4 linked regions of the Ovis aries genome follow. The protein of the gene in region 2 purifies or fractionates together with the protein of the main gene of each other region. This does not show direct contact. Links are inferred from orthologs where the notes say so. Each region holds a gene or a part of one and is shown on either strand. Other genes may lie near its edges. The genes, in order: CD40, TRAF3IP2, IKBKB and IKBKG.

Region 1 (8,174 bases), on a different chromosome or scaffold from region 2:
GATCCGGAGCCCTAGGTCTGTGCAGAGACAGGAAGGAAGGATGGGAACCCCTTACCGGCCTTGATCCAGGGGCCCCTGATCTTCATATTTCCTGTTCTTTTGTTTTAGACCCTCTTCCTAGCAGGGACGGCAATCAAATTAGGCAACAACCAAGACAACCCAGACTCTAACCAATCAGAACAGACCCTGGCTATTAAAATTTAAAAAGCCAGGATGGCTGTACTGTCAGGAATGAGCTGGACTGTCAGCCTGACTCCCAAGGGCCCCTTCCCCCGCAGCCCACGCACTGGGGTTGCAGTATCTGTGCTCGTGACAGTATTTTTCTCTGTTCCAGGTGGACAGGAATTCGCCTTTACCGCAGGACTGGCATTCTGTTTTGCTGACCTCTGTGCAGTCGTTCAGCAGTTTCTGTCCTGGAAAACATCCGGAAATGAGGGTGCTCCAGGCCACCCAATGAGTCAGACACTTAACTGAAAAGTGGTAAGGCTGGGCTTTAGGGAGGGGGCTGCAAAGAGGGCAGTCCCAGACCCTTCCAGCCTTCATACTCGGGTATAGGACGCAGAAGAGATAGGAACCCTAGTTCTGGGTTGGCAGAAAGGAAGCTCAGAACATCCTGGGGCAGGGACAGGGAATCCCAGGGGTCATTTAAGACACAAGCTTATCGTTGACACATGAGATCTGCATGTGCCAGCAGACCAAGACAGGTCCCACGTGGGGCTAGAGGGTCGGCGTCTCACCCGGCGGGCACAAATCACAGCAAAGACTGTTCACTGGGTATTGCTTCTCTCCGCAGGCAGTGGCTGGTTCTGGGTGGACCTAAAAAAAGAATTGGGTGATTTGAAGGGATCTTGAAATCTCAGATGTAGCCTCCTCGGCAGACAGGTGCAAATCGGCCAGGACAGAGGTTAGAACCAAAGTGGAAGTACAAAGCAGAAAAACGGGGCCTGTGTGTTATATGTTACATTTGTTTTTATCTAAACTGCCAACTAGTATGATGACAAAGGTACCCAGAGAATCACTCTGATATTTTACAAAGTAATTGCACTGTTAACTCACAGTATTCATTGCACTAAACACATCTTCCTTTTGGCTTGAGGGCTGAGTCTTTCCTCTCCCCAGCAACCCAAGAGCACATGAGGACTCCAGCATCTACCCTGGAGTCCTGAAGCTGGCTGACTCCAGCTGGTCCTAGCCCAAATAGGGGCTATATTTAGCATCTGGCCTCTTCCTTCTATTCTTTTGCTCCCCACCCTCTTCCCCTCTCCGAGCCTCGTCATGTTTTCTCCCTTCAGCCTCTCATCATCTGATCATCCAACCCCTCCGTCACGAAATACAGGATGGAGCAGCTGGAAGCATAAAATCCAACTCTTTCACTTCACACGTGGTGAGACTGGGGACCAGAAAGGCCGATTCACTTGCCCAAGGTCACACAGTGATAGAATCCGAATGAGAACTCGGGTCTCAATACTCCCTCTCTCCATCAGCGTGGGTCTCCTGTATTATTGTCACTACATCCAGGTACCACCCATGCTATTCATCACTTCTTGTTCATTTAAATACATTTATTTTCAAGGTAAACCTCATAGCATTGCCATGAGAGCAAAACTAGTATCACTTCTCATAAATAAAAGGCAACCCTAAAAATAAATTCAGCAGAAACAAAACAATGTCATTAAGCCATAGCTGATTGCTTTGCTTACTGACAGCCCTCTACCCCAGGCCTGCTCCTGATTTTTGTTTTAAAAGGAGGATTAGAAGGCATTTGAGAGGTATTAACTATATTCTAGCTCCAGCGACTTCCTTCTTGAAAAATGAAAAGGATTTTAAATAGAACTGCAAAGTGAATCTATGTTGTTAATTCTACATCTGCATGGGGTTGCAGAAGAGTTGACATGACTTAGCAACTTCACAACAGCAACCGCATGCTCTCTAAAATCATCTCACACTTTGGGAACAGCCAGTGAAAAGAACAGTTTTAAGGGTCAAACAGCTTAAAGCTCCAGTCTTGACTTTGTAACACTTAACTAATTGTTTTGCCTCTCTTATCCTCAGTTTCTACAACTCTAAAATGGGAGAAATAATGCCTGCCCCACAGATTAGGACTTCCTAGGTGGCCCCAGTGGTTAAGAACCCGCCTTCCAATACAGGAGACATAAGAGACATGGGTTTGATCCCTGGGTCAGGAAGACCCTCTGGAGGAGGATATGGCAGCTCACTCCAGTTTTCTTGCCTGGAGAATCCCATGGACAGAGCCCTGGCAGGCTACAATCCATGGTGTCACAAGAGTTGACTGAAGCAATTTAGAATGCACGCATGCACAGATTAGGTTGTGAAGACGAGAAAGAATGGATAAATATGGCCTGGTATAGTGTCCAGAACATAGGAGTTGCTCATTAAATGGCACTTTTAATTATCATACATACATAAGTATCTGCTGGGTTGCCCAGCACCCTGGCTACCAGGAACCTGCCTAATTGGTAGTTCTCATTCAACTTGGGGCGGGGGGGGGGGCAGGGGGGGGCGCGTGAATCACTTACAGAAGTGCGTCTTATCCCAAGCAGGGAAGGAAAGAGCAAAGGTTACTGCTCCCGCCATCACATCACAACACACCATCCTGTGAACGTTCTCCCCACAAGCCCATGGACCTTCCCCCCACACTCCCAGGGCAGCAAAAGTCCTCTATGCCATTTTCAAACATACGAGACATATAGCCCCTCCTCTGAAAATGCGTCAAATCCCCAGTTCCCACTTCACAGTTTCAACCCTTCTGACATGTGGTAGCTCAGGACCAAGGCTTGGAGACTCTCACCATCTGAGAGGCTGGCTCAGAAATCAGGCAGATGTACATTTATTGGCAGGTTCCACCTAGCTAAGTGGATTGGGGCAAGCCATTTTCTCTCTCTGAGCCTCAGTTTGCTCATCTGTATAATGGGGGAGTTGGAAGAAATCAGACCAAGAATGCACGTAAAGTATTTTGCTCAGAGCCTGACACACAGGAAGCTCTCAGTAAACAGCCTCAGATATTGTTGTCACAGCCTAGTCTCCACCTGGAGCTAAAATTGGGACTTTGCTCTTGAGAAGCCCAGACCACCTTTTACCCTATCCCCGCTGGCTTTTCCTCCACTTCTCCTCCAAGAGCCCCCTTCCTGCCCCCTTTCTCCCTAAGAGCCATTGCTTACAGTGAAAATGAAAGTGCTGGGGCCAGAGTAGCTTCCCCACAGCATCTCTCCCCTTGCTGCTGACCCCCTACTTCATGGGTCATTCCTGCCCTGCCTTCATGTCAGAAAGTACAGCCCTTGAAAGTTAGGGGGAGACCAGAGGGGTGGGGATGACAGTGTCAGGTACTTGGGGGATTCCCAGCCTCCAGAATGAGGAACTACAAAAAATACATTTAAACTAGAAGCGAGTCAAGTGTGGAACTCTGAAAATCCCGGAGATATGCTTGGTTGGGCATATCTTAGCCCTTCTGGCACCTGGAGAAACCTCTGCTGGTCTCCCAGCCCTTTCATGGTCCCATGAACTGTTCAGGTCCCCCAAGAGTCCCCTATGTCACCTTAAATTCAGGAGGCAGGGTCACAGCCTTGGGTATTCCTCCTATGTTGGGGGTAGGGGAAGATCACCAGGATTTGGTTCTGGAGTGGGAACGTTAAAAGCTCCTTGCCTTCTCAGAGAAGCACCTGGGCCACTGCCCTCATCCCATGCTCCCGCAAGATGTCCTGGAAGAAGGCCACCCCAGCTGGCAAGGAGGTGATAACCACTCACAGAGGCTGGCATTTATCCACAATGGGAAAGAGACAGGAAACCGGCCAAACCCGCCCCTTCCCTTGGCTGGCCTCCCTTCTCACTTCTGAAACCCCTCACCGTCTCTTTCGGGCCAGCCTTCGAGGCAGACCCAGACTCCAGTTCTTTGACCAGATAAAGGCTTAAAGCTGCCGAAACCCCCAACCTCATCTGCCTAGGCGTTTCCTGCGGCGACCCCACTAGGCGCCCTCTGTGGGCCACCTGGGACCCCCACCCCTGCCCGGGAGGAGAGAGAAACAGCCCATCTCATTCAGCCATGACCCCGGTACCCTACCCAGCTTCCACACCCCCACCGCAAAATCAGCTCAGAAGGTCCCCTGCCCGAAGTATCGCTTCTTTTCCCATTCCCTACTCTCTAATCTCAAATTCCCGCCTCTGGTCGGAACGGAATTTCAACTTACGGCGGTCAGAAAGAAGCCCCAGCAGAGACACTGCAGTGGCAAACGAACCATGGCGAGGTGAGAAACGGCGGCGGGAGGAGAGCGCGCCGGGACTTAGGCGCTTCCAGTTCCCCTGTCCTGGCCCGGGGGCCCGCCCAGGAAAGAAGCGGGGTCTTCGGGGACCAATCGCAGCCAGCCTCGCTGGCGGAGGGGCGGAGCTCCCGGAGACACACCTCCCTGGGATTTCCCCCAGGACATTCCCGGGGAGTCTAATTCCCCAAGGAGTTTAGGGACGCACTTTGGGGAAGGAAGCGGGGAGAAAGGGGGAAAGGGTCGTTCCAAGGAGAGCTCTTCATGGGAACCCCCCCCTCCCCGCGCCCCCTAGGACTACAAAGGCCGAACAGGAGAGAGGCAGCCGCTTTCTGGGGATGGGGATGAGGAGTTGGGAGAGAGGCGAAGGGAGTGGAGAGAGATCCCTATGGGTGTTAAGACTCCTCCACCCCGCCCGGTTCTTCCCCGCCGCCTCCGGCAATCCCAGCGGAACCGAAAGTGTCGAACGCCGCGGATGGAGAGGCCTAAAGAAGTTCCCAGAAAACGGGAAGGCCACGGCTGGGTGGTGGAAGGAGGTTTGGAGGGGGCGGGGGGGCTTTCAAGGAAAAGAGTTTCCCAACTTACAGTTTCGCTCTCTTTCAAAGGAAATTCCCTCGCGTGGGCGCCGCGTCCCAGCGCGCTCCCTGCCTCATCCCATTCATCCATCCATCCATCCACCCATCCATCCGTGCGTGCTGTCCCCACCAGACTCTGTTCCATTCCAGTTCCTTTCCTTTCCGCCACCTGAAAACAGGCGCTTAGACTAGACCACTCTTTCTTGGGGTCGCAGGACCCCTTGAGAATCTTTGGAGACTGGAGACCCCCTAGTTCTGCAGAAGCACACGTCCTTGTAGCAATTATTTCCCCAGTTCAGACCCTCCAAGCCTTTCTTGAACTCTGCTCTGCAGCAGGGAACACCTGGGTTGTGGCCTAGGCTCTGCTTCTGATGGGCTGGGTGTCCTTGAGCCTCGATGTGCTTCAATAAAACCTAAGGAGCTTGAACTAGAGGGTGTTTGGGGTGATGACTCTCCAAGCTCTGAGTTTCTGGGCAGGGTCAAAAGGTCAAACTGCACAGATCAGAGAGGAAGGGAGAGGGCTGCTAACCCCATTCTCCTGGCTTCTGCTGCAAAGGGCACATTTGCAGACCTGTAGATTTTACCTTCAGAATCCATCCCCTCTCTTCTATCCCCTCTGCCACTGCTTTAATTCAGAGGCTCACCATCTTTCACCTGGGCTGTCACAACAGCCTCACTCATTCAATTAAGTATTTGTTGAGTCTCTGCTATGTTCCAGGTAACTCTGAGCCCAGCTCCCCCACCCCCTCCACCCACCTCCACCCACCCACTGCCCCCCCACTTACCCCCCCCCCTCCCCATCCAACCAGTCCATTCTAAAGGAAATCAGTCCTGGGTGTTCTTTGGAAGGAATGATGCTAAAGCTGAAGCTCCAGTACTTTGGCCACCTCATGCGAAGAGCTGACTCATTGGAAAAGACTCTGATGCTGGAAGGGATTGGGAGCAGGAGGAGAAGGGGACAACAGAGGATGAGATGCCTGGATGGCATCACTGACTCGATGGACATGAATCTGAGTGAACTCTGGGAGTTGGTGATGGACAGGGAGGCCTGGCGTGCTGCGATTCATGGGGTCGCAAAGAGTCAGACACGACTGAGCGACTGAACTGAGACCCTGTTGTTGTTCAGTCACTGAGTCTTGTCCAACTATCTGCAAGCCCATGGACTGTAGCACACCAGGTTCCTCTGTCCTCCACTATCTTCCAGAGTTTGCTCAAATTCATGTCCATTAAGTCGGTGATACTATCTGATCATCTCATCCTCTGTCACCCCTTCTCCTTTCGCCTTCAGTCTTTCCCAAGTCAGAGTCTTTTCCAGAGTCGGCTTTTCACATCAAGTGGCCAAAGTACTGGAGCTTCAGCTTCAGCATCAATCCTTCCAATATATGTTCAGGGTTGATTTCATTTAGTATTGACTGGTTTGATCTCCTTCCTGAACAAGGGAGTCTCATCTGAGGATGGTCCAAACTCTCTTCTGGCTCAGCTGAGTCTCCATTCAGCCCCACCCTCTGTTCCCACACTCACACCCTGCCGTGTCCTACCATGCATGCTGGCTTCAAGCATCCTCGCCTTTTCTTCACTTTCCAAAAGCACAGTTGTTTCTTTCTTCTGTCTTGCTGTTTTCTTCCTTCTCCTTCCTCGAATGAGTTTAAATTTTACCTTCTCTTTAGATAAACCTCCTCTAAACTCCCCGAGACAGAAGTGGATACTGCACCCCACCTTTGCCCCTGCTCCCAGGTTCCCACAGCAGTAACATGCTGGATTCTTACCCCATATGCCTGGCCCCATTTGATGATGAGCTCATTGAGGGCAGGACTGAATCTGTCCCAGTCCTGGGCACCAACACATTTGCTGAATGAATAAATAAGTGAGTAGGTTCGATAACTTCTTATTCTAAGCACAGTCTCCGTCAGAAAGGAGGTATAGAGCTGATAGTTTCAACACAGACCTCAAGTTGATACCTGTAGTCCCAGAACACTTGAAACCAGAGACCAGGGAATTTCATGAAAGTCACACAAGCATGCCTGGAATAGAGACAACATTAAAATATCTTTTCCCTTTTTAACCCACATTGGAAAACACAAGCACCATTTTCATTCCTAGGGGGGCGGTGTAGGGGGGCGTTACTATAATAACTTAAGCCATCACTTATTCTTTATTTGCTTGATTCTAAAATTGGGCCCTTCACAAAACTGCCTTGGGAAGCAAGTACACAGAATTAAACATTAATTATATTATATAAAACATATCATAGCAGCAATTAAAGCAGCTTAAATTAATGTGTGAAAGAATAAATAGTAGCCTCCGGGTGGCCCCATGGGGCGAAGACCAGATGAGATAAAGGGAAGATATTTTAGTATATGCATATCCCGAGGAGACATGGGCTGGCAGGCATGGGCCCAGAGAAGGCATCGAATCTTCCTGGGCTTAGAAGAGTGCGCTGGAGGAGGAAAGAGAAAAGATGACTTTTGGGGAGGGTGACAATATTTCAGAGTCCCACTGAAGGGTGAAACTATGAAGCGTTCAGTGGTGGGAGTAGGGCAAAAGATATTCCAAAGAGCAGGAACCGAGGATTTTGAAATCACAGAAGAAATGGCCTTTGTAGGGAGGTGGGGGCGGCGGCGGGGGGCAGTCCCAGGGCCAGATAAATGGATGAGAAGTGGGCCTGAAGGTCAAGTCTGCAGCACTGCTGGAGTCTGGCTGCTAGGTGGTTCTAAAATACAAACCCGATCGTGCGCCTCCCAGATGTGAAGCAACCCCACAGATCTCTCACTCCTACAAGCCCACAGAGCGTCTAGGCCTGAATCTCTAACTGTCCTCCCTGCCTTCAACTTTCCGCTCCAGACTGTGCTGTCATCGCTGCAGGGAGAGCCCTTTCCCACTGTCCTTTCATTGAACCAACTCTTTCTGTTCTTAAAAAGTATTTATTTGACTGCGTGGGGTCTTCGTTGTGGCATGCAGGATCTTCGTTGCAGCACACAGACTCCAGTTGTGACCCTCGGGCCCTGGAGCTTGCAAGTTTCAGCAGTTGTGGCTCCTCTGTCCACGGGATTGTCCAGGGAAGAATACTGGAGTGGGTTGCCGTTTCTTCTCCTTGAGTTTCCTTAAACAATGTAAGATTTTTAAAACTTATATATATATATTATTTATATAATCATATAATATATATTTAAAATATAAAATATAATTATAATATATAATTATATAATTAATATATCAATTAATATATCAATTATATAATATTATAATATAATATATTATATTATTATATTATATTAATATGCTGCTGCTGCTGCTAAGTCGCTTCAGTCGTGTCCGACTCTGTGCGACG
Region 2 (8,123 bases):
TTCATACCCTGTGGACCACAAACTGTCTTTGTCTCATACTTTCTTTATAGTTAGCTTATTTGTACACAACCCTTTAAAAATATAAATTCTTAGCAATAGGTAGGTATAGAAATAGACCATAGGCCACCTTCAGCTCAAGGGTTGTAGTTTATCAACCTCTGATACACATGTTACTGATAAATCAATATAAACTTAATGAAATGGATATACTTAAGAAAGCCGACCCTTTCTAACAATGATTGTTAATATCTGTCAAATGTTTCCTACAGGTCAAATATTGTCCCAGGTGTTTTGGATGTATTACCTTATCCTCACAGATACCCTATTCGTAGGCACTCTGTCAGCCCTATTTTAGGAATGGGGAAACCAAACACAAGGAGGTTAAGTAACTTTCTCAAGGCCACAGAGCTAGTAAAGAGCAGAGCCAGGGTTCACATCCAGGCAGTTCAGCACCAGAGCCTGTGCACCGAATCCTCTTGATTCTTGGTTGGAAGCATGGACTTGCACAGCTTTTGGGGGCAGCAGAGAAAGGGGGTGGCAGGAGCTGAGTAAACCTTAGAAGCTTCTGGAATAAATAGGTTTCAGAACCATTCACCTTGAAGCTAAGGAGGCGTGGATACCTGCCACCTGTGTTTTATGAAGAATGGCCAGGCTGGAAACCTGTGATGGCTTTCCTTCATGCCACTACAATAGAGGATATGGGTGAGACTGCCGAGGCATCTTGATTTGAGAAAAGCACTTGATTGGATCTCATTAAATTTTAATCATAAACTGAATTCAAAATAAATTGAAAACTTGTTGACAGAGCACAAACAAAGGGTGATGATAAATGGCGATACATCTAGAGAAGGGATATTTTCCAGGGGACGCCTCTGAGGCAAGGACGGATGGGATTTAATGAAGGTGTTATGTCCCTGGAAGAAGACAAATAGCAGAGCAAGAAGCAGAGGAAGGGCAGGAGTGAGCAGCCTGAGTAATTAATAACCCACATTACTAGCTCCTAAATGATCAAGTCTTGCTATTACCAACTGCTTGGATTTTTTTTTTAAAGCATTCTTTGGGTCAACCATAGGGTTGAAAGGCCCTAGAGACACATAGCATGAATATTTTGGGGGGATATATTAATAAATATATAAATTTACAGCTAGGAAGAGCCTCAGATCCAATTTGGATCAGATCTTTGCAATCACAGATTCTCAAGGTCTTACTTCATTCTCCAGGGAGTAATTTTTTTTTTATAAGTGTCTGAAAGTTCTGGATTAAAAAAAAAAAAAAAAACAAAACTTTAAACTCGTTAACATTCTTCATTTACTACCCAAATGCATGCAAACTTTCCCAACGTCAGTTGGCTTAGTGGAAGTTAGTTTTGAGTGAACTGTGTGGCTCAGGTTCAAATTCCAGTGAGTAAATATTTCCAAGTTTACTTGCAGAATTTCCCAGACAGAGAAGTTCTTCCACTTGGTTTGCCAGAGAACTGGAAGCAGTGGTGAGCCCTGGAGATGAGGGAGCGTTTACTGGCCCTTGTAGGTGTCCTGCACAGTACAGCTCACAGCAGGCTGAAGGCAGTGCAGCGTGACCCGACCTGATTACAAGTTCGCCCTGGAACTCCTCTGAGCTGCTTAACTGGCTGACGGGGCTAGTGGAATGGACTGACTCCACCATGCTGGAAGCTGGTAAAAACCGTTTAGAGAACAACCTCAAACCAGCCCATGGGTTCTTTTGTTTGTTTGTTTCAGATACGGTTTCTCTAAACACACATTTGTGATTCTTAATTCAGTCCAGACCCCAGAGTGAAGGAGAAGAAAGTGCAGAAAGGAAAAAATCTGGAGAGGGAGAAGAAGGGATGGAAAGGAGGAAAGGAAAATGGAAGAGAAGCCAGAAGAGTGGGAAACTCTGAAGGAAAAGTTAAACAAATTTGTCCTTTATTGGTAGAGGACAAAGGCTCACTTAAATTGTGATTTTGACGTGTTGCTGGGTAAGACAGGGGGCAGCTGGAAGGGGAGGGAGAGAACGAGTGCAGGTAAATGGCAAGAGTGTTGGAGGGGAGCTGCTGAGCCTGGAAGAGTCGGGCCAACAGCACAGAGGAGGAAGGGTGATGGGAGGCAGACCTGGGAACCCCGCCTGGGAGAGGAAGAAGGAAAAACACTGGAACCGTTAGTGGAGGAAACAGGGAGGTGGGAAAAGCCAAGTTCCCATCATCACTGAAGGAGCTGCCCAGACCTCAGCCAGCCTGGGTCTTCAGGGTGAAGGAAGGGCGTCATGAGGGCTGGGGCTCCCTTCGGTCCCAAGCGACTTGATCTCAGCTGCCTTGTCAGGAAATCACTCCAGACTGGCGCAGCTTCGCAGGTCACCAGGGGGATGAAAGCTCACCTTCCTCCCACAGCCAGTTTATAGCTTCAAGTCTCCAGGAAGTTCTGTGTGTATACACACATACACACACACATGCACACAAACACGCTTGCATACACACACGCACAGAGGCACAGAGCGAGCTTAACTCTCAGGCATCGACGCACATGTGGGTGAGCAGGAGGCCTGCTGGGCAAGAGACGCAAAGAATGCCGAATGTCTGAGGGAGAGGGACAGCCTGGGCTTCATGAACTAAAAATACCTTGGTGACAATGCACTAGGAGAAACATAAGGGGCCCGGGGGAGAGCTGCTTGACTCTGATCCTCAGATGCTTTCTCACGGAAGGACTGCAGGGTTGTTTTGATAAGGAAATATGATCAAACATTAGGGGTCATTTCATTGGATCTGAAAGGAATTTAAAGTTTAATATGCCTCATCTGTATGCTCTTTTTTTCCCATGCAGCAGTTGCCTGCAATTCATATGTGTTTTGAAAGGCTAATCGAAAATTGTCTGTCGTGGAAAAATGATTCGAATTCAGGATATTTCCAAGATTTCAACTCTTCAAAACATAGACTTAATTTAGGCAAACTACGCTCATAGCTGATCTTTCTGAGTGCCTGCAACTATGATTCTGAATTTCTGCAGTTATGACTGCCTTCTTATTTTCAGAGCATTTGGAAGTCACTAGCTCCTTAATTTTGAGAAGCAGGCTTAAATATTTTCCATCTTTGAACCCTCCCAAAGTGAGTATCCTGAGTTAACAGTTTTCTCCCCAACACGCCCAGACTTCACGCTTAGTCAGCTCACCCCAAGCACCGAGCGAAGCAGGGGCCGCTCCATCACAAATGACACAAGATGAAGAATGTCTGTGGGTGGTCTTTCTGGGTCAAAGCTTGGCTGGCAGCAAACTACAGTTGGCTTGATTTCAGATAATGGTGCATGTTATTTGAAAATAAAAATCAGTAACGCATCACAGGTGAAACATCTTGAAATTCCTGTCCTCTCATCCCAGGATGAGAGAGATAGCTATCTGAAAGCATGATGAGGACCATAGCAGGGCCTTCATATTCCACAGAAACAGCTGAGCAAAACCAAAAGCCCTGAGTCGGCCCATCCCACTCAGCCAGGGCCTGTGTGAACTGTATGGAGGGAGAGAATTAGCTCAAAAGAAACAATGATTTTTTTTTTTTTTAAACAAAGTAGTGGTTTGGAAAAGGTTAAGAATTCAGGGTGTTTACCATCTAATAATGTGTCTGATCCTAGTCATCACCCTTACATGGTATCAGGATGTGCCTCACAGCTTCCTTTCACCTCCCATTAAAGGCCCCACACAAAGTGACTGGTCTAGCCAAGGAGTCATTTCCAGCTCCAGCTAAGTCAGTAACACAGCCTTTTGGAGCCAGGCCTGTGTGCCAGCTCTCTGGCGCTGCCTGGACTCTGTGGGCAAGTGCACAGGCCATTTCTTCCTGGGTAACCCAAATGGGACATAAACTAATTCAAGAAACCCCCTGTGTTCTATTTAACTTGAGTCAAAAATTATATCTAAATTCCAGGCAGCTCTCCCACACAGCCATGCGGCTGCCCAGTACCCTCCTCTACCCACCCCCAGCCTTTCACCCAGGCTAAGGCTTCACCTTTTATAGATGAGTGAAACGAATCAGAGCAGTTTATGTGGAAGAAACCTGAGCGCCCCTGAGGTGTCTGATAGTATTCTGAGTGCTAGAGGGTAAAGAAGGATTAAGTCCTTTTCCTCCAGGGACTATCTAGTAGGATAGGTAAGATTAATATATTTGAATCATCAGTAAAAAAAAAACACATATCTTCTGAGACCGCCCACTATGGCTGCCCCTCTGGGATTTTCATCACCGACGCCTTATTTTCTTAGAAGTGAATTTCAACATAATCTTAGCTCACCACCCCCATCCACATTTTACTGATGAAGAAATCCAGGCCTGAGTCAAAAAAAAAAAAGAAGTAAATTGCCTAAGTCACAGAGTTGCAATGGCAACCCACTCCAGTACTCTTGCCTGGAGAATCCCAGGGAGCCTGGTGGGCTGCCGCCTATGGGGTCGCACAGAGTGGGTCGCGACTGAAACGACTTAGCAGCAGCAGCAGCACAGAGTCAGCAAGCAGAGGAGGGAGAATCTGAAACCAAGTTTCAGGTCCTCTGTTTTTATTATTTCTTTCCCTGTTCATTTAAAAATATCCCCCTATACTAAGAGACCATCTTGAACTTGACAGTCACATGAAGCTTGATAAGCTTCTAAGAGCAAATAATAGCATTTCTCTCCCTGTTTTTTCCTAAAGGCTCAGGCCGGCTGTCTGTGCCAGCAAATGCCTGGGCGGTGTGGGAGGGTGGAGGGCTGGGGCAGAGGGGCTGGCAGAGCCATGGCCAGCACGGAACAGGGCTGGACTTCCTGGCTCAAGAACAGGGTGTTGGTTTTTTCCCCTGAGTGAAAGAGGGATCAAGAAAACTCGGGAGTTCTCCTTCCACCTCTGCCACTGATGCATCGTGGGGCTGGAAGCCAAACTCTTCATTTTTTATTTCCCCGGCTCCCTCCCTGGAGAAGGGGGGTGAGGGAGGGAGAGGGGGGGACGTCTTCTTCATCAAAACTCGTGGGGACACTAAGTCCTCAAACACAGGGGTGTGTGTGTGGGTGTAGATGTCTATTCCTCAAAGAGTTAATCTTCGCTCTCCTGTCTGAAATACTAAACCACTGGCCCTGTCTCACAGCCGACACGTAGCTGTCATGTTCTAAGCCGGAGCTGTCTCTCTGTACACGAACCAACAAATGAAAGGTGGGGAGAGGCAGGCGGAGGAAAGTGAGACGGCACTTTCGGTAAAGGAGAAAACATTGTTTTGGAAAATGGATCAGAAGTTAAGAAGTAAGGTTGGTCAGGTGACAACTGAAGCACTTACCTTAGAGCTGCCAAGGACAGACAGACCGGTGGTCACGCTCTCTCCTTCTCGGGGCCTCTCTACCTTGGGTTGCTCCAGGCCTCCCTGCACCCTCTCCCGGCCCAGGTAAGCCGTGGAACAGGCTCCGAAGCAGGAAGTGGAAGCTGTATGCAAATTTCTACCGAGGCTAGGAAGCCTCTGCTCAAAAATCTCCCTGTGGGCAGTGAATCAACAGCCGCTGAGAAGTCACTTTACTTCTTAAAACAGAAACCTTCATTCACTAGAAAAGGCCACTAGCCAATTAGGCTGCTCTTTTTTTTTTTTTCCCCATCACCCAGCTAAGTAACTGCTGAGGAATGTTCCCTGAACCTCAGGGTTGTCGAAGCACCCAGGCCTGAGACGATGCCCGGGGAGGGTTGGTAAGATGGGTTACTCATTAGCAGCTCCCGAGCAGGAAACGGGTGGGGCAGATCGTGGGGAGGAGTATGGAGCAAAACTTCTTACTGTCTCTAACTGTATTTACTGCTCTTAATCACAAAGGGGGGACTCACTGCCCATTCCCCGCCCCCACCCCAACCACCCCAACACACACATTCCTTACCCCATCCACAGGCATGAAAAAGTGACTATTTTTAAGAAAACACACACACACACAGTCTTCCTCTGGCTGCATTTTTCATGTCCTCGAGTTCATTTCTTCATCTTTCCTTCTTGTTTAATCGGTGCCTACAGAATTTGTTGCTGAGGGAGACCCTAGAAACAGGAAGACCAGGATGGCAGACCGTAATGAGAGCTGTGGCGGCCAGCGGTGGCCAGGGTGTGAGCTCAGTTACCCTCTAGCCAGCTGGGTGTGGGCAGGTGGACTATGCTCCAGCTGCTCTGCGTGGCTGGTTGAGTCCTGAGGGTCAGCCCATTACCCTGGTCATCTCGCTTTTGCCAATAGATATGACAGATAAATACATGTATGTGTATCTATATACATTTATTCACTGTTGTTTCTAACACTTATCACTGTGCCCAGAACCTAGTAGGCAAGCACGACATAACTGCCAAATGACCAAAAAAAATGACAGAAATGTCTGGAAGAAGGCATATCAAACTATTAAGTAGTGATCGCCTCCAGGAAAGAGGGTTGAGGGAATGGGTGAGAATGGAAGGCTTTTATCCTAGTCATTGCATAAAATATGTATACTATACATATATTGGGGGCTTCCCTGGTGGCTCAGTGGTAAAAAAGTGGTTAAAAGAAAAAAGTGGTAAAAAAGCTGAGATGAAGGAGACACTAGAGTTGCAGTTTCGATCCCTGGGTGGGGAAGAGCCTCTGGAAGAGGAAACAGCAACCCACTCCAGTACTCTTGCCTGGAAAATTCCGTGGACAGAGGAGCCTGGTGGGCTACAGTGCATGGAGTCACAAAGAGTCAGACATGACTGAGCATACAAACACCAACATGTCTATATTAGATTCCTGTCCCCACAAGGGCGTGGTACTTCATTCATTAAAAAAAAAAAAAGATTTAAAAATTGCACTTCTTACCTTGGCCTTGAGTTTTCTCCCTCAAAATTATATTATAGGCTTTTTTTAGTTTAGGGGAAAATAGTGCTTTTTTGTATGGAGCTGTTGGTACCAGGATACTTTGAAAAAGCTATCACTATTAGGAGATGAGAATAGAAAAGAGTGACAAAAGGAGAAAAAAAAGAGGGAGAGCAAAGAAAGGGTGGGGTGAAGACAGTTTTCATTTCTTTTAGATGCCTTTAAATGGATTGGGAAAAGCCCAGAAGACGCTCCTGTCAACTACTGCCTTTGGAGTACAGCCCATCAGGAAGAACAAGAGGAATCTTTTTTTCTAGTTCTCCCACCAACCGTTTCCCCAGATGTGAACCTAAGGGCCCTGCAGGGAGATACCAAGCACTGCAGGGCTGCTCATAATTGCTGGTGGCTGGGCCTTCCTCTGGGTCAGTTTATCCTGAGCAGAACAGCAGCACTTGAGGAAGGAGTTAACGGTTCCTACTTAGGAGCCCTTGCTGGGATCCCACTGAACAGCAGCCTGCGGATGTGAACAGTTTAGAGAGGAGGTCCTGAACACTAGAAACTGCTGTCTGAATATGCCTGTGACAGTTAGTCAAATATGGATGTCAGGGGAAATGTCAGGGAGCGCCTGGGAAATGAACACCTCCAGCCCTGCAGGAGACCCTGCTGGTGTTCTCCGGCTGATACACACAGCCCTTTGGCTGCCCCCACAGAAGAGGAACTCTTCACCCAGGAACTACCATACAGTACTTGTTAGTGTATTTAGTCCTCCAAAAAGTCTTGGAGATGAATTTACTCCTGTCATTCCCACTTGACCTTTAAGGAATCTGGAGCTCGAGACAGAGTCACTTCTAAGGTCACATAGCTAGTCTGTGGAGAAGAATTCCAGAACTGTCTCACTTCCAGTAGGTGGATATTACCTCCCCTTCCTCGGTCGCCCTGCTGAAGTCTGCCCTTCCTATGTGTTTGGGTGGAGCACACAGAACTTGCTTTCTTTGCACAACTCTTGACAATTTAAGAGAGGGGGGATAAAGGTGTAAGTAATAAAAGGATGGATCTGAAACTGTGCCAGTTAGCATGGTGCTGTGTTTATGCAATGCCGGCTGCTGTATACACAGTAGCAGAATACTCAGGAGGCAGACCAGCCTTCTTGTTCTGGTCCAGGAGGCAGGATAGGTGTTTGCCAGGCTCTAGAGTCTCTCTGTATTCTTGCATAATTAGATAAAGGCCAGCTCTTCCCACCTTTGTAAACAAAACCATTTAGACCTAATGCTCTGGACTCACTATACTATGGTTTTAACCCACGAAAAGAGAGGCAAAGATGAAAAGATTCATTCCTTGGACA
Region 3 (7,555 bases), on a different chromosome or scaffold from region 2:
TTCTGTTTTTGTCTACTTTGGTACCATGCTAATGCCTTCATAAAATGAATTGGGAGGTAGGTATATTTCCTCCAAATTCTATTTTCTGGAAGAGATAGTGCAGAGTAAGTGTTTTTTCACTGGTAGAACTTTCCAATGTAACCATTCGGGCCAGAGGTCTTTTTCAGAGGTTTTTAAATTATAAATTCAATATATTTCATAGCTATATTGCTATTCATATTATTTCAAATTTGATGAGTTGTGGTAGATTGTTTTTCAAGTAATTGGTTCATTTATTCTGTTATATTTATACGCATAGTTGTTCATAGTATTCCTGCACTATTCTTTTGGTATCTGCAACATCAGTAATTTCATCGTTTCATTCCTGATATCGATCATTTGTGTCTTCCGTCTTTTTACGTATCAAAGAATCAGCTCATTTATTGATCATATTGTTTTCCTATTTGTCAATGTCTTTGATTTCTGCTCTGATCTTTATTGCTCTGTTCATTCTGCTTGCTTTTATTTTGCTCTTCTCTTTTCTAAGTCATTCTTGACACCATGAATTTTGGGGAGGGGCTATATGGGTTCAATGGTGGCCCCCAGGAAGAAATGTCCACATCCCAATCCCCAGAATCTATAAATATTGCCTTATATTGCAAAACGTAAGATAAGGGTCTTGGAAAGAGACATGTATCCTTATCCAGATCAGCCTTGAATTTGATCACAAGGCACATCTGATTTTCTAAAAGGCACATAGGAGAGATATGAGAGACAGAGAAATGATGGCAATACGACCACAGAGGCAGAGAAGCGGCCACAAGTCAAGGGTCTCCTGGGTTCACCAGAAGCTGGAGGAAGCAAGGAACAGAATGACCCCTAGAGACTTTGGAGGACTTGATTTCAGGCTTCCAGCCTCCAGACCTGTGAGAATAGACGTCTGTTAAGCCATGGAGTTTGTGGTGATTTGTTACAGCAGACCTAGGAGCCTAACAGCTGGAGAGCAGCGTCTCCGCTGGTGTTACTGGCTGGTGCTCCCAGCCCCCGCCAGGGATGCAGGGGGTGAGAGGAATCCCCAGGGAACACACCACGTGCCACCACTCAGGGCCAAGGTCCCCGCTGCTCTGCATCCTTCTCACTACCTTTCAGAATCTTCTTCGTTTATAAATAACGTCCAAGGGTCTCAGCTGAACTAGGAGGTGGGGAGGTGCGTCTGCTCCACTTTCTGGAAGTCCAACCTCCAGGGTCTTCATTTTTTCAACCTATTAGCATTTTCCAGTTATATTACTCTTTTATCATTTTTTAATTTAAAATGTTCTATTTATTTATTTGGCTGCATCGGGTCTTAGTTGCTGTTGCTGAATCTTTCCCTGCAGTCTCTCCAGTTGTGGTGTGTGGGCTTAGCTGCCCCCTGGCATGCGGGATCTTAGTTCCTCGACCAGGGATCGAACTCATGTCTCCTGCATTGGAAGGCGGATTCCACTGCATCACCAGGGAAGTCCCTATGTTACTCTTTTGAAGCATGAACTTTGGTGATTCTTTACTCAAAATTCTTCAGTGACTTCCAACTGCCATTAAAATCGGCCCCTGATTCTTAGCTCAACATTCATTCCCTCCCTAATCTGACCCCACCTCAGCCTACCATTCGGGTCTAAATTCCCACTGTGTTCCTCACCAGTGTTTTCTATATCATGCTTTATCACTCTCCAGTTCTTTGGGCTGTTCATCAATGTTACATGCACACGAGAGAAAAATAAAAGGTATCATTGTCAAGCAAGTTGGGGAAACAGCGGATTTAGGCAGAATTAAACCAGTTTATTATCACGGGAGAAGGAAATGGCAACCCACTCCAGTACTCTTGCCTGGGAAATCCCATGGACGGAGGAGCGTACTAGTCCATGGGGTCCCAAAGAGTCAGACACAAATGAGGGACTTCACTTCACTTCATTATCACGGGACTTTCCATCCTTCAGTACACCAGTGCACAATGTGAATTTCTAAGAGGCACTTAAAGCATGAACCGTTGTTGCCCAAACTTCCTGTACATGGAACCCACAGAACCGCCTCCACGAAAGGCATTCTGTGAAACTCTTCTCGTCCGGCTTTCTTCTCCAACCAAACTTGCCTGCCTGGGATCATCCGAGCTCACCGTGCTGTCCCTCTGTTATACAGAGAAGCTTTTGTGAGACAGCAGAGAAGCAGCGCGGGCCCTGGCACCGTTCAATTTCATCAAATGTTCCATTGCAGCTGGGTTTTTGAGTGTGTTAAGTCCTAACCAGAGGTATTATAAAAATAGACAGTGGGATCTGAGTCATGTTGCAAAATAGAGAATCTGTTTTTTAAATACATTCACTAAATAATACCGCGAGAGGATACGAGGGGCGGGACCTCCCCCACACCCCCCACAGCCGCACACGGGGCAGGGCTGTGGGCACAGGGGGTCAACAGGCTCATGAGTGACAGACATCCTTTCCGTCTTTCCTTCTTCTCCAAGGCAGCTCGCTCCCAGGGACTCTTTGGGACACGCAGGAAGGGAGATGCTTTTCCCTCCTGGCTCCAGTCACGCTGGCTGGAAGGACCGCAGCCTGGCTGCAGATCGCAGGTGGAAGGACAAACGTTAGCAGCAGTGAGATCAGAGGAGAAAGGAGGATGGGACAGGGCAGGATCCGGGGTTTGGAGGTCTGCTCAAGAGAAGCCGAATCCAGAAACTCGAGCTACGCAGACAGACCTCCTCTGGAGAGCAGGAGGGGTCAGGAGGAGACAGCTGGCACCGAGCGCCGCTCAGACTTCGTCCTGGGAGTCAGTCGGGTGTGGCCGCTGAGCCTGGAGCACTCCTCTCCCCTCGCAGGGGCAGTGGCGGCCCTGGAGACATCTCCTACACGCCGCCCCCCGGCATCCACGTCCACTGGGCCTCTGCAGCAGAGGAAATCCAGCGAGCAGACGAGCTGCTGGCTGTGCCCACGGAGGGCCATGCCTTCAGTCCAGAGCGACCGTCATGGCTGCTGGAGGAGCGTGATCTCTGTCTGGGTGCCAAGGACGCCGGGCGCGATGACGCTGGGGCCTTGGGCAAGGCAGCCCACTGGGGCCAGGGCCGCCCACCATCACGAGGCCCGCTCCAGTCCCTGCTGTTCCTCCTCCTCCGACTGCAACCAGCTCCAGTCTAGAGACTGAAAGTCAATGGGCTCATTAACAACCCTGTGGCCACCCAGGTACCTGGTTTTCTTCTTTGGGAGGCAACCAGCATGATTTAGAAGGAAGGCTAGAGCCTTTCATTGACAGTCGAGTTTCTGCAAGGGACCCCAGAGCTGGAGCTATGTCTTCAAGACCGTGCAGGAGCTTATCTTCAGATGGGCGTGGAGCCCCTGGCCCCTGGAGAGCCCCTGGAGACTCTGGCCAAGCGATTTAAGTGTGATTCCTGCAGCTCACAGCACTGACCTATGCTCACTGAACACCCAGGTGCCCAGGGCTCGTCTTAGTTCTCCAGCTCCAGGCTAACCAGGTGGAACCGCCTGGCCAGACTTCCTTTCCCTCTGGCAGAAGCACATAGGCAGTGCAAGGGTCGAAACATACAGGGCCCAGAGGAGGAAGAGTACCAAGGAGGAGACACGGAAAGCCCCAAACAGCAGGATGGCACTTGAAGAAATAAGAGGTGATTACCATTGGCAGTGACCCCTCCGATCCTTCCCCAAACCGAGAAGTTTCGGCAACGCTAGTGCGGGACTGTATTGGAGGAAATGGCCATTAAAAGACCCAAGCGAACAATTAAGCATCCTCTCAGAAAGTTCAGCTTTGCCTCGATGTCTCTGCACCTGGACTCATTTTTCTTTAGATCAGCTTCCCTAGAGCTGGGCTTGCTGAGTCCCTAAGCTCCGAGTCCCTGAGAGATGGGGTGGTGACAGCTTTGTCCCTGGAGCCCAGCACCGCACCTCTCACACGCATGCCCAGCAACTGCACAGAAGGGAAGAGCGGGAGAGAGGCCTTCTCCCAGGGATGCTACCGGCCTCATAAGGACCAAGCACAGTGAGGATGAGAGGAGACAGAGCACGTAAGGTACCTGTGCTCGTTCAACAGTCGTCAGCCCTGTTATCATGATGAATATGAAGGTTGTACCAGAAAATCCCAAGTGTACACTGAGATCAAGGCGGCAGGGCGTCGCCTCTCTCTCAGCTTCTCGTTTGCTGCAGAAAAGAAAAGGTGTGGAGCAGCGGGGCTCCCCGTGGGCCATTACCCTCAAACTCTGGTCCTGCTCCTTCATGGTGTCCTGCAGGGCGTTCTCCAGCTGGGTGCACAGGGTGTGAGCTTCAGCCACCAGGTCGTCACTAAAGAAAACGACTGGATTATTAGAACGTGGTCAGTGTGAACTTTTCAAAAGAAATATATTACTATGTACAAGTATGCTAAAGGGCTTCTGGAAAGATTTTAAAAATTGAACGATTATTCTGATACTGAGTGTCTTAAAATATATGACACTGCCTCGGCAATTTTCATCTGTTCTTCTTGAGCACTGTTATGGAAGCTCAAACCCAGCCGTGAGCATCGCCATTCACAACATGAGAAAGCAGAGGTCTGGCCTAATAAAAAAGTTCAGAGCCAAAGGGATTTCTTAGGCTCTCTCTAAACTGCCACAATCTGAAAATCTCTCCCAGATCACCTGTTTCACAGTTCTTGAAACTGATAAAGGTATACAGACCGCGAGAATTCCCCAGGTGTCCTCAGCTCTCAGACTGGGAGCAGCGTGTTCTAGGAACTAATTCATCTGCTGCACTCTCGCCTTTCCTATGAGAAATGCACACGTCCCACCTTCTCTACGATAAGAAATGCACACGTCCCGAGAACAGGCCGTGGCTGAGAAAGGCGAGAGCAAAGCAAGCCATCTGTCTTGTTCTAACCTCAGCTCCAGGACGTGGGCAGACAGATGGCAACCTGAGCCCCCAGGACGCCTTTCCTAGAGCGGGGACAAACCCAACAGGAAGGGCCCCGCAGTTCCTCCTCTCACCGCAAAGGGGGCGCTAGTGGGAGGAGCAGAGCCCAGACTCATCCACTGCCTGGCCACTGCCCAGGCACCAGGCTCTGGGCTGGCCCCAGAGCCCCGGACCCGGTTACCACCCTCAAGGAGCTAACTGGAAGTTGGGGAGAGAATTAAGAATCCAACACGGAGAATTCTCTGGTGGTCCAGTGGTTAGGATTCTGCACTTTCACTGCCGAGGGCCCAGGTTCAGTCCCTGCTCAGGGAAATACATTCTGCAAGCCAAGAGGCCAAAAGAGAAATAGAAAAAAAAAAACCCACAACAATAGAGAATACAAACTCCCCAAGTACAGGAACAGGACTTCTTGAAAACAGCTTTACTGAGATATATTCACAAACCATAAAGTTCACCCGTGTAAGGTGCACGACCACACGCTTCTGGTGCACTTACAGCGTCGTGCAACCATCGCAGAGGTCTGGTCCTCGACCGTTTCATCACCCAAGGGGAAACCCTGTACCCGCTGTCAGTCACTGCTCTCCCTCAGCAACCAGGTCTCCTCTCTAGTCTGTAGACCTGCCCTTGGGAATCAGTCTTCACCGTCTCCAGCGCCTGGGGCCCAGCAAGGGAAGGCCCTGAAGAATGGGTGTGAGGCTGAGCCAGAAACAAAAAGCCGCACGGGTGTCTCGGGAACAGAGATCTGTGCGTGTGTGTCTGGGCCGTGGAGGGGGTGGGAGGCAGGGCCAGGGCGGAGGGAAGACACCCCAGGGAGGGCGTCAGCAGAGCCAAGGACCCGGGGCGCCAGGATGCAGGGGGGTCGGCCCGGCCTGGTTACCCGGGGTTGCCGATCCCGAACCTGCATGTCCAGTGAGAGCCCAGAACCCACTGATGCTGTTGGTCTGGACCGGGCTCCAAGACCCTCGGGCAGAGCCAGGAGCTGCCTGGGAGTGGGGGTGAGCCTGGAGAGGACGCTTGGAGGCTGGGAAAGGCTCAGCCTTGGCCCCGAGGCAGCTGGCTGCCATGGCTGGTCCCTGAGTATCCAGGAGAATAACTCGATCAAAACAGTCTCCCATGAAGACGGATTTGACCAGAGGGGGCCTGGGGGCAGCACTAGGCTGGAAGCAGAGAGGGAAAACCTCATGGGAAGGGCTCTGAGGCTGCACTCTCAGCTCTGCAGCAGGGGCGTGCGCAACAGGCAGGGCGGCGAGGGGTGAGCGGGGGGTGGGGGGAGGAGGGACCACAGGACGGACCGGCAATGTGTGACTGGGGCGCGGTGGCCAGAGGACACCCTCAGGGACCTGCTTCTGTGAGCAGATAGCAGGGGATGGATGAGGGGACAGCACAGGGCTGGCCAGCACTGGACGGAAGGCTCCCATCCAGCAAGAGCAACTCGGCCTCAGATAAGGACACCTGGCTGGGCAGGCCACAAGCAGTGCTGTGAGCAACACACCACATCCACGCCCACGGTGCCCGGCACGGGGGACAGATACCAAGGGGCGTGCATGGCGCCGCCACCAGGAGACCCGTGCTTCCACGCCCACGACCTCCTGACGCGCCCCGGACTTCAGCACTGGACACCGCGGATGAGGACTCACCTCTTCTCGGCAGCCTCGGGCAAGCTGTCAGGAGCCGCGCAGGGCTGCGACATCAGCTGGCTGGGGTGACTCAGGCGGGAGGCGTTCATGCTGTCCGGGCTCCCGCTGACGGGACCCCGGACCTTGCTCTAGAGGGCAAAACCAGAACGAGAGTCAGCGGTCTAGGGGCAGAGGGATGACTGAGACTCTGCTTCCGCGGCAGGGTGTTTTCTCATGAAGACACCTGGCCACGAGACACATGCTCTTCCTGCAGAAATCAGGCAACATCGCCGTCTGATGCTTTGCGTTTCAGCTTAGAAACTGCTTCTGATCTGCAGGTGTAACTTTCTGATTGAGGGTTCTAAACAGAGAGATCTGAGGGTTCTCTCTCTTTTTTTTTAATCAACCATTGGCCATTTAATTTTAAATTTTGGGGGTTCTAAATACAGAGAAATTTAAGGGTTCTATTTCTTTTTTTTTTTCATCAACCACTGGCCATTAATTTTGTGTTTTTTGGCTCTGCAGGCTCTTGATTGCAGTTACAGGCTTCTCTCGTTGTGGCAGGAGGGCTTAGTTGCCCTGTGGCATGTGGGATCTTAGTTTCCTGACCAGTGAACAAACCCTCGTCCCGTGCTGGAAGGTGGATTCTTTACCACTGGACCACCAGGGAAGGCCCTAAGGCTTCTATCTCATTAGTTGGATTGCTCAACAAACCCTTACAAGGAAACGAGAAGGAAGGTGTGTTTAATCTTCCCAAGAAGAGAAACACAAGAAGGTCCTAGGTGACTTCCCGTGACTTGCGCCACCTGGGGAGCAGAAGAGGCCGAGGTGTTTTCTGGGCTGCGGCAGCTGGCGCACCTGGAGCAGCAGGCCTCCCTAGCCCGTGGCCAAGCAGCTCTGCCATCAGCCTCCTCAGCCTCCCTGCTGCCTGCCAGCTCGATTCCAAGCTTTTCTTGGCTCTTCTCCAGTCTCTTCTGTGCTGCGGTTTCTCTCTGAGCAGCACTCAGTGGGATCACAGCCACATTGGGATGGTGGGCA
Region 4 (7,555 bases), on a different chromosome or scaffold from region 2:
ACCCTGTCGCTGACCCCACCTCACTCTCCCTTCAAATCACCGGCACCCCTATGCCAATCAGAAGGGTGCCTGGTGCTTTCGTCTGCTGACCGTGGTTACCAAACAAAACCGGTTCCTACCCCTTTACCTAAAGGCCGGATGAACTGCTCTTTGACACTTGTGTCTTCATAAGATGAGGAAAGATGCCCAGACACGAGGGGAGAAGGCCACGTGACAGTGTGTTTGCAAACCACGGAACAGAGTCCTCCCAGCAGGTACCTGAGGCTAGGAGACAGACTTGGACCAGATCCTGCCCTCAGAAGGAACCAACCCTGTCCACGCCTGGATCATGGACTTCCAGCCTCCATGACTGGCAGACCACACATTTCTGTGGCTTCCAACTACCCTGTTTGTGGTACTCTGTTACAGCAGCCCCGGAAACCTGAGACACTCCCCAAGGGCCCCCACCAGGCTGTCTATACTGCCAGCAGCGTGATTTCTGGCCAGGCCCTGGGCCACATGTACCAGCTTGATCTCTGGGACCCAGAAATCAAGTACCTAAGGGGAGCCATACAGGCGCCCCAGGCCTCCGGGAATGACCACCCCTACAAGTCCCCAGAGGGCACACTCTCATGCATGGCTCCGTCTCTCCTGGACTTGCCCTCCGTTCCTTTATCTTTACTGATTTCAACCCATATCCCAGCCAGCTGCTCATCCTAATGCCGTAACTGGGAGGACAACAGCTTTCCCCAACTCCGGGAGCCCCCCACCCCGGTGCCCCCAAGCAGGCAGCCAGGTCCTTACCTGCTGGCATGTCTTCAGGCGTTCCACCTCCTGTAGGGCCTGCTCCCTCTGCTGGCGCAGTTCGCGCTTCTCTAGGCTCAGCCTCGCCACCAAGTCCCGGGCCTCCTGGAACTTCTGCATGAGGAAGGCCTTCTCCTCCCTCTGGTTGCCCTGGAAACGCTGCAGCTCCTCACAGCGCTCGCGCAGCATCTGGTTGCTCTGGCGGATGGCGTCTGCAGAGATAGCTGGGGCCAGATGAGCCCAGGGCCTGCGGCCCCCCACCGCCCCGAGGACTCCCCCACTGGGACGTCTTCCCAACACTCCCTCGTTTCGCCGATCACTTTCAAAGTCAGCTACGCGAATGACATACCCCCAGTGTCCACAAAAGCTTCACTTAAAAACACATGTCAGGGAGTCCCTAGTGGCCTCGTGGTTGGGACCCAGTGCTTTCACTGCCCTGGCCCGGGTTCAATTCCTGGTCAGGGAACTGAGGTCCCACAAGCCGCACAGTGTGGCCAAAAAAAAAAAAAAAATGTCAAATGTCAGTTTATTTGTTCTTTGTAAGTGACTCTGGAACTCATCTGCCTTCTGCATGGGTCAGAGCAGGCCCCTGGGTCACTGCCTTCAGGATCAGACTGGGGGCAAACTTCCCCGAGCTCTGCTGGCCCCAGACTGAGGGGGGTCTTGGGGGCAGGGCCAGAAGTCTCGGAGCAGGCGAGTTCTCTGAGCCTCACCATCCTCTTGTACACGTTCAATGGGGACAAGCATCCCCATCTCAGAGACAGGACGGGTAACATGGAAAAGCAGCCAAAGTGCCTGGTACACAAGACAGCTTCAAGAACCACTTTGTCCTCCTCTTCCCAGGCAGTCAGCAAGGGCTGAGGAAAGGAGAGCCACCCACCCAGGGACACCGCCAAGCAGCAGCTCACCACTGGTACTGACAAAACGGATCCATGGCCTGTGAAGGTGCTAACCACCACAGAACTAGATTAGAGGAGGCCCCCTCTCTGTTCAGAACCCCCAATGAGCTAAATAGGCCTTCTGATGGAACATTCTTTCGCTAGAACCACAATGGCTCCTGAGCCTGGCTCCAGAGCCTCCTTTTACGTACCACAGTCCCCATAAGACTCCAGCCCTACAAGGGAGCGACTGATCTGAGACAGGGCTTTCTGCCTCAGGCCCACGGTGCCCCCACCAGCCCCCACTGTCCTGGGGATGAGCTCAGACCACATATGTAGCTGTGGAGAGCGAACTGTCTCCCTGCCCCAAACTTGGCTGCCAGCTCAATGTGGCCCCAACACAGAAACATATTTAACGACACCTGGGGGATATTGTTGGTTGTCTTACCTGGAGGGGGGACGATTGACAGTCCACCCACAGTGGCCCAGATGTCCCTTCCCCAAAGCCACCCACGGGCCCTTCCTAGGAAGCCCCAGCCTAGCCCAGAGCAGACTACACCCCTTTCTGGAGCAGGCCACGCCCCTTAAATAGCCACGCCCTTCCTCGGGTAGCCACGCCCCTTTCCAGTATATTGTTTGATGCTTCTGTCCATGGGGTCACAGAGAGTCAGACACACGACTGAGTGACTGAATGACAACAATGGCTGATCAGTACGGAGACACAGGAGCCTGGCGGCCTTGGCCCGACAGGGACAACCCAAAAAGGTCACCTCAGCTCCAGAGCTCCTTGGAGGGAGGGCAGCCCAGCTTCTCCCTCTGCCCACCCCTTCTTCTTCACTGCCCTGCCCTTCCCTTCCCATCCCCTCCCCTCCCCAGTGTTGGTCCTGACTCTAAACATTCTGGATGGCACTCTGTAGCTGTGAGTCACTTCCAGAGAACCCCACAGGAAATGAAGGAAGGAGGCTAGCTGACCCAGAGCCACAAACTGGCTCTCGAGCGCCTGCCCACCTCAGTCCCAGAAAACGCAGAGGCACTGGGTAAGTGGGGTCAATTCCCCCAGCAGGGCCTGCTCCCCAGACATTTGACGCTGCCCGCCCACTGTTGCCCTCACCTCGGAGCTCTTGATTCTCCTCCAGACAGCGCTGGAAGGTCTCAGGGGTGCCCTGCTCTGAAGGCATGTGGAGCATGGCTGGCTTCCCCAGAGAAGACTCTTCACCTAGCATGTCCTGGTCCCCTGCCGGGCCACCACTCGGCTGCACCATCTCACACAGTGGACTCTTTCAGGGGGGCCTGCTCATCCAACACGTCAGGGCCTGAAAGAGAGTTAGCAAGGGTAGGATATGAAGAGACCTATACAGAATTCTCCTACCCTGCAGGACGAGGAGTCCTGGCATCACACTTCAAGCAAAATGATGAGCATGCTGGCAAGTGGAAAGAGATGCTAACATGGGCTTTCTGGTCTAAGAGGTAGCACATAGTCCCATTCCTAAGGGAGGTGCAGGCACTTCTGTGGGGCTTGGAAAGGTCATGGTTCAGCACTGCTTGTAAACTGTAAGCTGAAGTTAAGAACATCACCAGAGAGGAGAAATAACATAGAAAATTAGTTTTGGAGGGATGTGTCGGTATGCTGGGAATCCTACCCTACACACACACACTTCCAAGCATGAGTGGAGGTGAGTGGCCCCTCACGTAGTACAGTGAGTTGAATGATAACCCCCAATAAGGTATGTCCATGTGACATACCTTATTAAATACCTTATGACACCCAGAACCTGTGACTGTAAACTGCGGAAAAGGATCTTTGCAGATGCGATAAAATCAAGGATCTGGAGATAAGATAATCCTGGATGAGAAAGGCCCTAAAAGTGTCCTTATGAGACACAGAAGAGGAGAGACACAGAGGAGATGCCACATGAAAATACAGGCAGAGACAGGAGGGATGTGGTCACAAGCCCAGGGACACCTGAAGCCCCCACAAGCTGGACAAAGCCCAGAGGACCCTGCCCTGGAGCCCTCGAAGGAAGCACAGCCTTACCAACACCTTGACCTCAGGCTGTTGGTCTCCAGAGCCAGGAAAGGATAAACTTCCGTTGTTTTAAACCCCCGCCCCCACTTGTGGCTATCTCTTACAGCAACCCTAGGAAATCCATACACCAAGTAAGAGGGTCTTCACAGAGATCACTCAGAGCCTGGTGAGTGTTCTTTGGAACAGAAGGGCTAAAGTGGATCATCCCACGTTTGACGTGTACTGAGACATCTGAAAGCAGGGCCTGGGCTCACAGATGAAGGCAGGGAGGCAGAGAAAGGCTGAGCCATTTGTGTTCTCTTGTGACCTGGAGTAGAGAGAGGGAGTCTACGCCAGACAGCATCAACCTGGAGCCCTTTTAAGGCCTGCCCAAGACTGGCTACATGAAGAGGAAGCTAATCACAAAAGAAGTTTCCAGTAGGGCCTGAGCTGCAGCCAGAGGCTTGAACACCAGACGAGCTTGGACATTTCACTATTACACTGATGCTTCACTGAACACCCTACTAACCCATTAGCAGTATCTAATGGATCACTGATCCCTGATTCCAGAACAGCCCACTCTACTGGTTTCCCACCTACCTCACTGGCTGCTCTCTCTCAGGCTTTCATTGGTCCATCCTCATTAACCCAGCCCTTCATGTGGTCATGCCCTAGGGCTCTGTTCTGGGACTTTTTCTCTAATTTCAGTCACTCCAGTACTAATTCCATCCAGACTCAAAACTGTAGCCCTCATCTTAATGCTAATGATGCCCCAAATCAGAACTCTTTCCTGAACGCCCAACTCACACATCAAATGCCAGATCTCCACTTGGATATCCAGTCATCCTTTCAAAACTAACCTCGGTAAACTACACTCCTGATCATCCCCAGAGGCCAGTTCCATTCATGGCCTTCCTTGTTACCAATAGATGGCTAACCCATGCTCTAGCTGGCAGGACAAAACCTTCAAGTCTTTCTTGATTCCCATCTGTCTCACAGCTCACGTCGGATTCATCAGGAAATCCTGTCAAGATGTATCTTAGAATCTATTTGATGACACTTAGCAGGTAATGGTACTATTTTACATGTGACAGTGCTGGTGTGGCTATGTTTCTTTCAAAGTCATTTCTTAGAGATCCACATGGAACTTTTATTGAAAGAAATCACATGGCGTCTGGGACTTGGTTCTAAATAATGGGTGAACTGCTAGGTATCTACCTGAAAGAAATGAAAACTCATGTCTGCACAGGAATGTTGGTAGCAGCATTACTCCAAACAGCCACAGTGAAAATGACCCAGATGTTTATCAACTGATGAATAGACAAAATCTAGTACATTCCCATGCTGCAACATTATGTTAATAAAAAGAAACAACTCACAAAAGACCACATATTATGACTCCATTTACATGAAATGTCCAGAATAGGTAAATACATAGACAGAAAGACTAGTGGATGCTTAGAGCAGGGGTAGATGGGGTGGTGAGAGTGATGGCTGAAGTTCATGGGGTCTCTTTTTGGAGTGATGAAAATGTTCTGGAATTAATGGTGATAGTTGTGCAAGTCTGTGAATGCACTGAAAAACCAGTGAACTGTATACTTTAAATGGGTGATTTGCGAGGTATGTGAATTATATGTCAACGAAGCTGTTTTTGAGGAGTATGAATTAAAAATATCCACGAGTTGGTAACTGTTGAAGCTGGGAAGTGAGTACATTGAATTTACTAGACTATTATACTTTTCTATGCCTTTGAAATTTTACACAATAAAATGATAAGAGCAACATCACTATTCAGGTAATTATTGTAATAACCTCCTAAAAGTCACCCGGCTCCTACACGTGCCGCCCCCATAGTCAGTTCTCCCCACCGCGCCAGACCAGTCAGCCTGAAAGGTGATTCTGATCACATCCCTCCTCTGCTGGGATCCCTACCATGGTTCCTCATTGCCGATAGCTTAAAACCTAAAGTCCCTACCACTACCTACAAGGCCGTGCCCTATCTGTTCTCCCATTAAAGTGAAACTCGCTCAGCTGTGTCCAAATCTTTGCGACCCCATGGACTGTACAGTCCATGGAATTCTCCAGGCCAGAATACTGGAGTGGGTAGCCTTTCCCTTCTCCAGGGGATCTTCCCAACCCAAGGATCGAACCCAGGTCTCCCACATTGCAAGCGGATTCTTTACCAGCTGAGCCACCAGGGAAGCCCAAGAATACTTGAGTGGGTAGCCTATCCCTTCTCCAGCGGATCTTCCCGACCCAGGAATCAAACCGGCTCCCACTCTAAGCATTCCCTCGCTCACTCTACTCCAGGTATAGCGGCTTCGTTACTGAGTTCCTCTAACATGTCAGGATGGCCCATTCATCCTCAAGTCACAGAAATGATACGAGGTCCAGGAGACATTCATCGTTTTGCAAAGAAGCAAAATGATGCACATGAGGTGAGATACTTAGCTGGCAAGTCATATTTAACGCCTTCTTAAAGAACTTTAACCTGAAATGCACAGATGATGAACAGAAAATGTCTCCGACCTAGAAGAGTCATTCACAAACTAGGGGTGTGGTCAGACTCGGCGCTGGCGGAGGAAAGAGAGGCGGAAACAAACCCGCTCGCCGCCAAAGTAACCTGAGTCCTCAATCGGCCTGCCTCCGCCGGTGCTCTGGAAGTGCGCAGCAGAACCCGGCTGGACCGAACAGGAGGGGGAAGCCTGGTCATCCGGGGAGGGGATTTCGGAGGCGGCAGAACGCCCACCGATGGTACCCTGTCTTCAGAAGAGGGCCACACCTGTCAGCTCAGTCGGTCCGACGTGAGAAGGGCGGGAACGGCGGGCCCCGGGCGTTCCTCGGACCCCCGGCGCTCCGAGAAAGTCCGAGTTCCGCTGTAGCCCTTCCCTTCTCCCTCTGCCAACTTCTCACTTCCGGCTTCCGGTGTCTAAGCTGTCGGATCCGGAAGTAAAATGCTCAGGTCCCGCCCCTGCCTGGCCGGCCGGCGGAAGGTGAGAGAGAGGCTGCCCAAAGCGGAAACCTGAACCCACCAAGCCTCGGTTGGCCGGCGGGGCATTCCCCAGTAATTAGCGTCGCGACCTGCATTCCCCCTTGTCTCTCCGGCAGGGCCGTCCCCCTTCCCGCTAGGGTTGGAACCACAACGAGGCTGTCATCTGATAGGGCTGATTTGACCTGCTCCGGCGACCGGTCTGGCGAGGAGACGGAGCTGCAGAAGACCCCACCCACCAACAGGGTCGAAGGACAGGGTCAAGCAGCTGGCGGAAGTGGAGGCCCGCGCGAGCACGCAGAACCTCCCCGGGGCCCTGCGCCGACAGCCGGACTCTAGGGGCGGGGTCGGGCCAGGGATGGGGACACGGGCGAGCTGCGGGGAGCTGCAGGCGGACTCGCGAGGTAGCGGGGACACGGCACAGCCGCAGCCGAGACAGCAGGCGGCCCGCGGCTCAGCGGCCGGCGCAGGTGCTCGAGGGGCAGGGCGGGCCAGGGCTGGGGCCTCCACGGTGGGGTGGGGGGGCCCGGCCTGGCCGGGATGCGCACGCACCTGCCCGCGCCCTCGACCTTCCCCGCCCCACGAGGGAGGGGCCCGCGGAGGCCACACCCCCGTATCTCGCCTGAGGCCGGTCAGCTCAGCCCAGGCTCCCGCCCCCGCCGGTTAAATGGGCCGGCGGGGCTCAGCCCGGGGAAACGGCCGGGGACTTGGGGTCTGCGAGTGTGACGGGCGAGAGCAACGAAGCACAGGTAACCGAGTGGGCGGTCGCGGCGCTACGAGGCACTTTGATTGCCCAAACTTAAGAACGGGGCAAAATCCAGAGGGCCTAACCAATCTGGTACCCTGCGTTGCCCTCATGGGACCCCCCGAGGAGACGGAGAGGGCCAGGGACTTGCTGGG

Evidence for each region.
Region 1: the proteins of TRAF3IP2 (region 2) and CD40 purify together in Homo sapiens (affinity purification with western blotting, with the first as the bait; 3 studies listed by BioGRID). This does not show direct contact. The link is inferred for Ovis aries from reciprocal best matches to the Homo sapiens genes TRAF3IP2 and CD40.
Region 3: the proteins of TRAF3IP2 (region 2) and IKBKB purify together in Homo sapiens (affinity purification with western blotting; 3 studies listed by BioGRID, with this or other methods). This does not show direct contact. The link is inferred for Ovis aries from reciprocal best matches to the Homo sapiens genes TRAF3IP2 and IKBKB.
Region 4: the proteins of TRAF3IP2 (region 2) and IKBKG purify together in Homo sapiens (affinity purification with western blotting; 3 studies listed by BioGRID, with this or other methods). This does not show direct contact. The link is inferred for Ovis aries from reciprocal best matches to the Homo sapiens genes TRAF3IP2 and IKBKG.

Annotation. Positions count from the first base shown.
Region 1 is NC_056066.1:74,820,236-74,828,409, reverse strand, and holds the start of CD40 (tumor necrosis factor receptor superfamily member 5), read right to left. Parts: upstream 4,272-8,174; 5' UTR 4,254-4,271; coding exon 4,203-4,253; intron 817-4,202; coding exon 738-816; intron 414-737; coding exon 288-413; intron 18-287; coding exon 1-17.
Region 2 is NC_056061.1:26,133,050-26,141,172, reverse strand, and holds the start of TRAF3IP2 (E3 ubiquitin ligase TRAF3IP2), read right to left. Parts: upstream 5,391-8,123; 5' UTR 5,272-5,390; intron 1-5,271. UniProt on the Homo sapiens protein: E3 ubiquitin ligase that catalyzes 'Lys-63'-linked polyubiquitination of target protein, enhancing protein-protein interaction and cell signaling. Transfers ubiquitin from E2 ubiquitin-conjugating enzyme UBE2V1-UBE2N to substrate protein.
Region 3 is NC_056079.1:36,500,157-36,507,711, reverse strand, and holds the end of IKBKB (inhibitor of nuclear factor kappa-B kinase subunit beta), read right to left. Parts: intron 6,667-7,555; coding exon 6,539-6,666; intron 5,214-6,538; exon of another isoform or gene 5,141-5,213; intron 4,299-5,140; coding exon 3,842-4,298; 3' UTR 3,147-3,841; coding exon of another isoform or gene 3,081-3,146; 3' UTR 1,774-3,080; downstream 1-1,773.
Region 4 is NC_056080.1:79,911,668-79,919,222, forward strand, and holds part of IKBKG (NF-kappa-B essential modulator), read right to left. Parts: intron 7,405-7,555; coding exon of another isoform or gene 7,323-7,404; exon of another isoform or gene 7,261-7,322; intron 7,126-7,260; coding exon of another isoform or gene 7,014-7,125; exon of another isoform or gene 6,627-7,013; intron 6,594-6,626; exon of another isoform or gene 6,270-6,593; intron 2,975-6,269; 5' UTR 2,924-2,974; coding exon 2,773-2,923; intron 1,008-2,772; coding exon 784-1,007; intron 265-783; exon of another isoform or gene 128-264; intron 1-127. Other genes in the region: G6PD (glucose-6-phosphate 1-dehydrogenase), read left to right, coding at 7,014-7,125. UniProt on the Homo sapiens protein: Regulatory subunit of the IKK core complex which phosphorylates inhibitors of NF-kappa-B thus leading to the dissociation of the inhibitor/NF-kappa-B complex and ultimately the degradation of the inhibitor.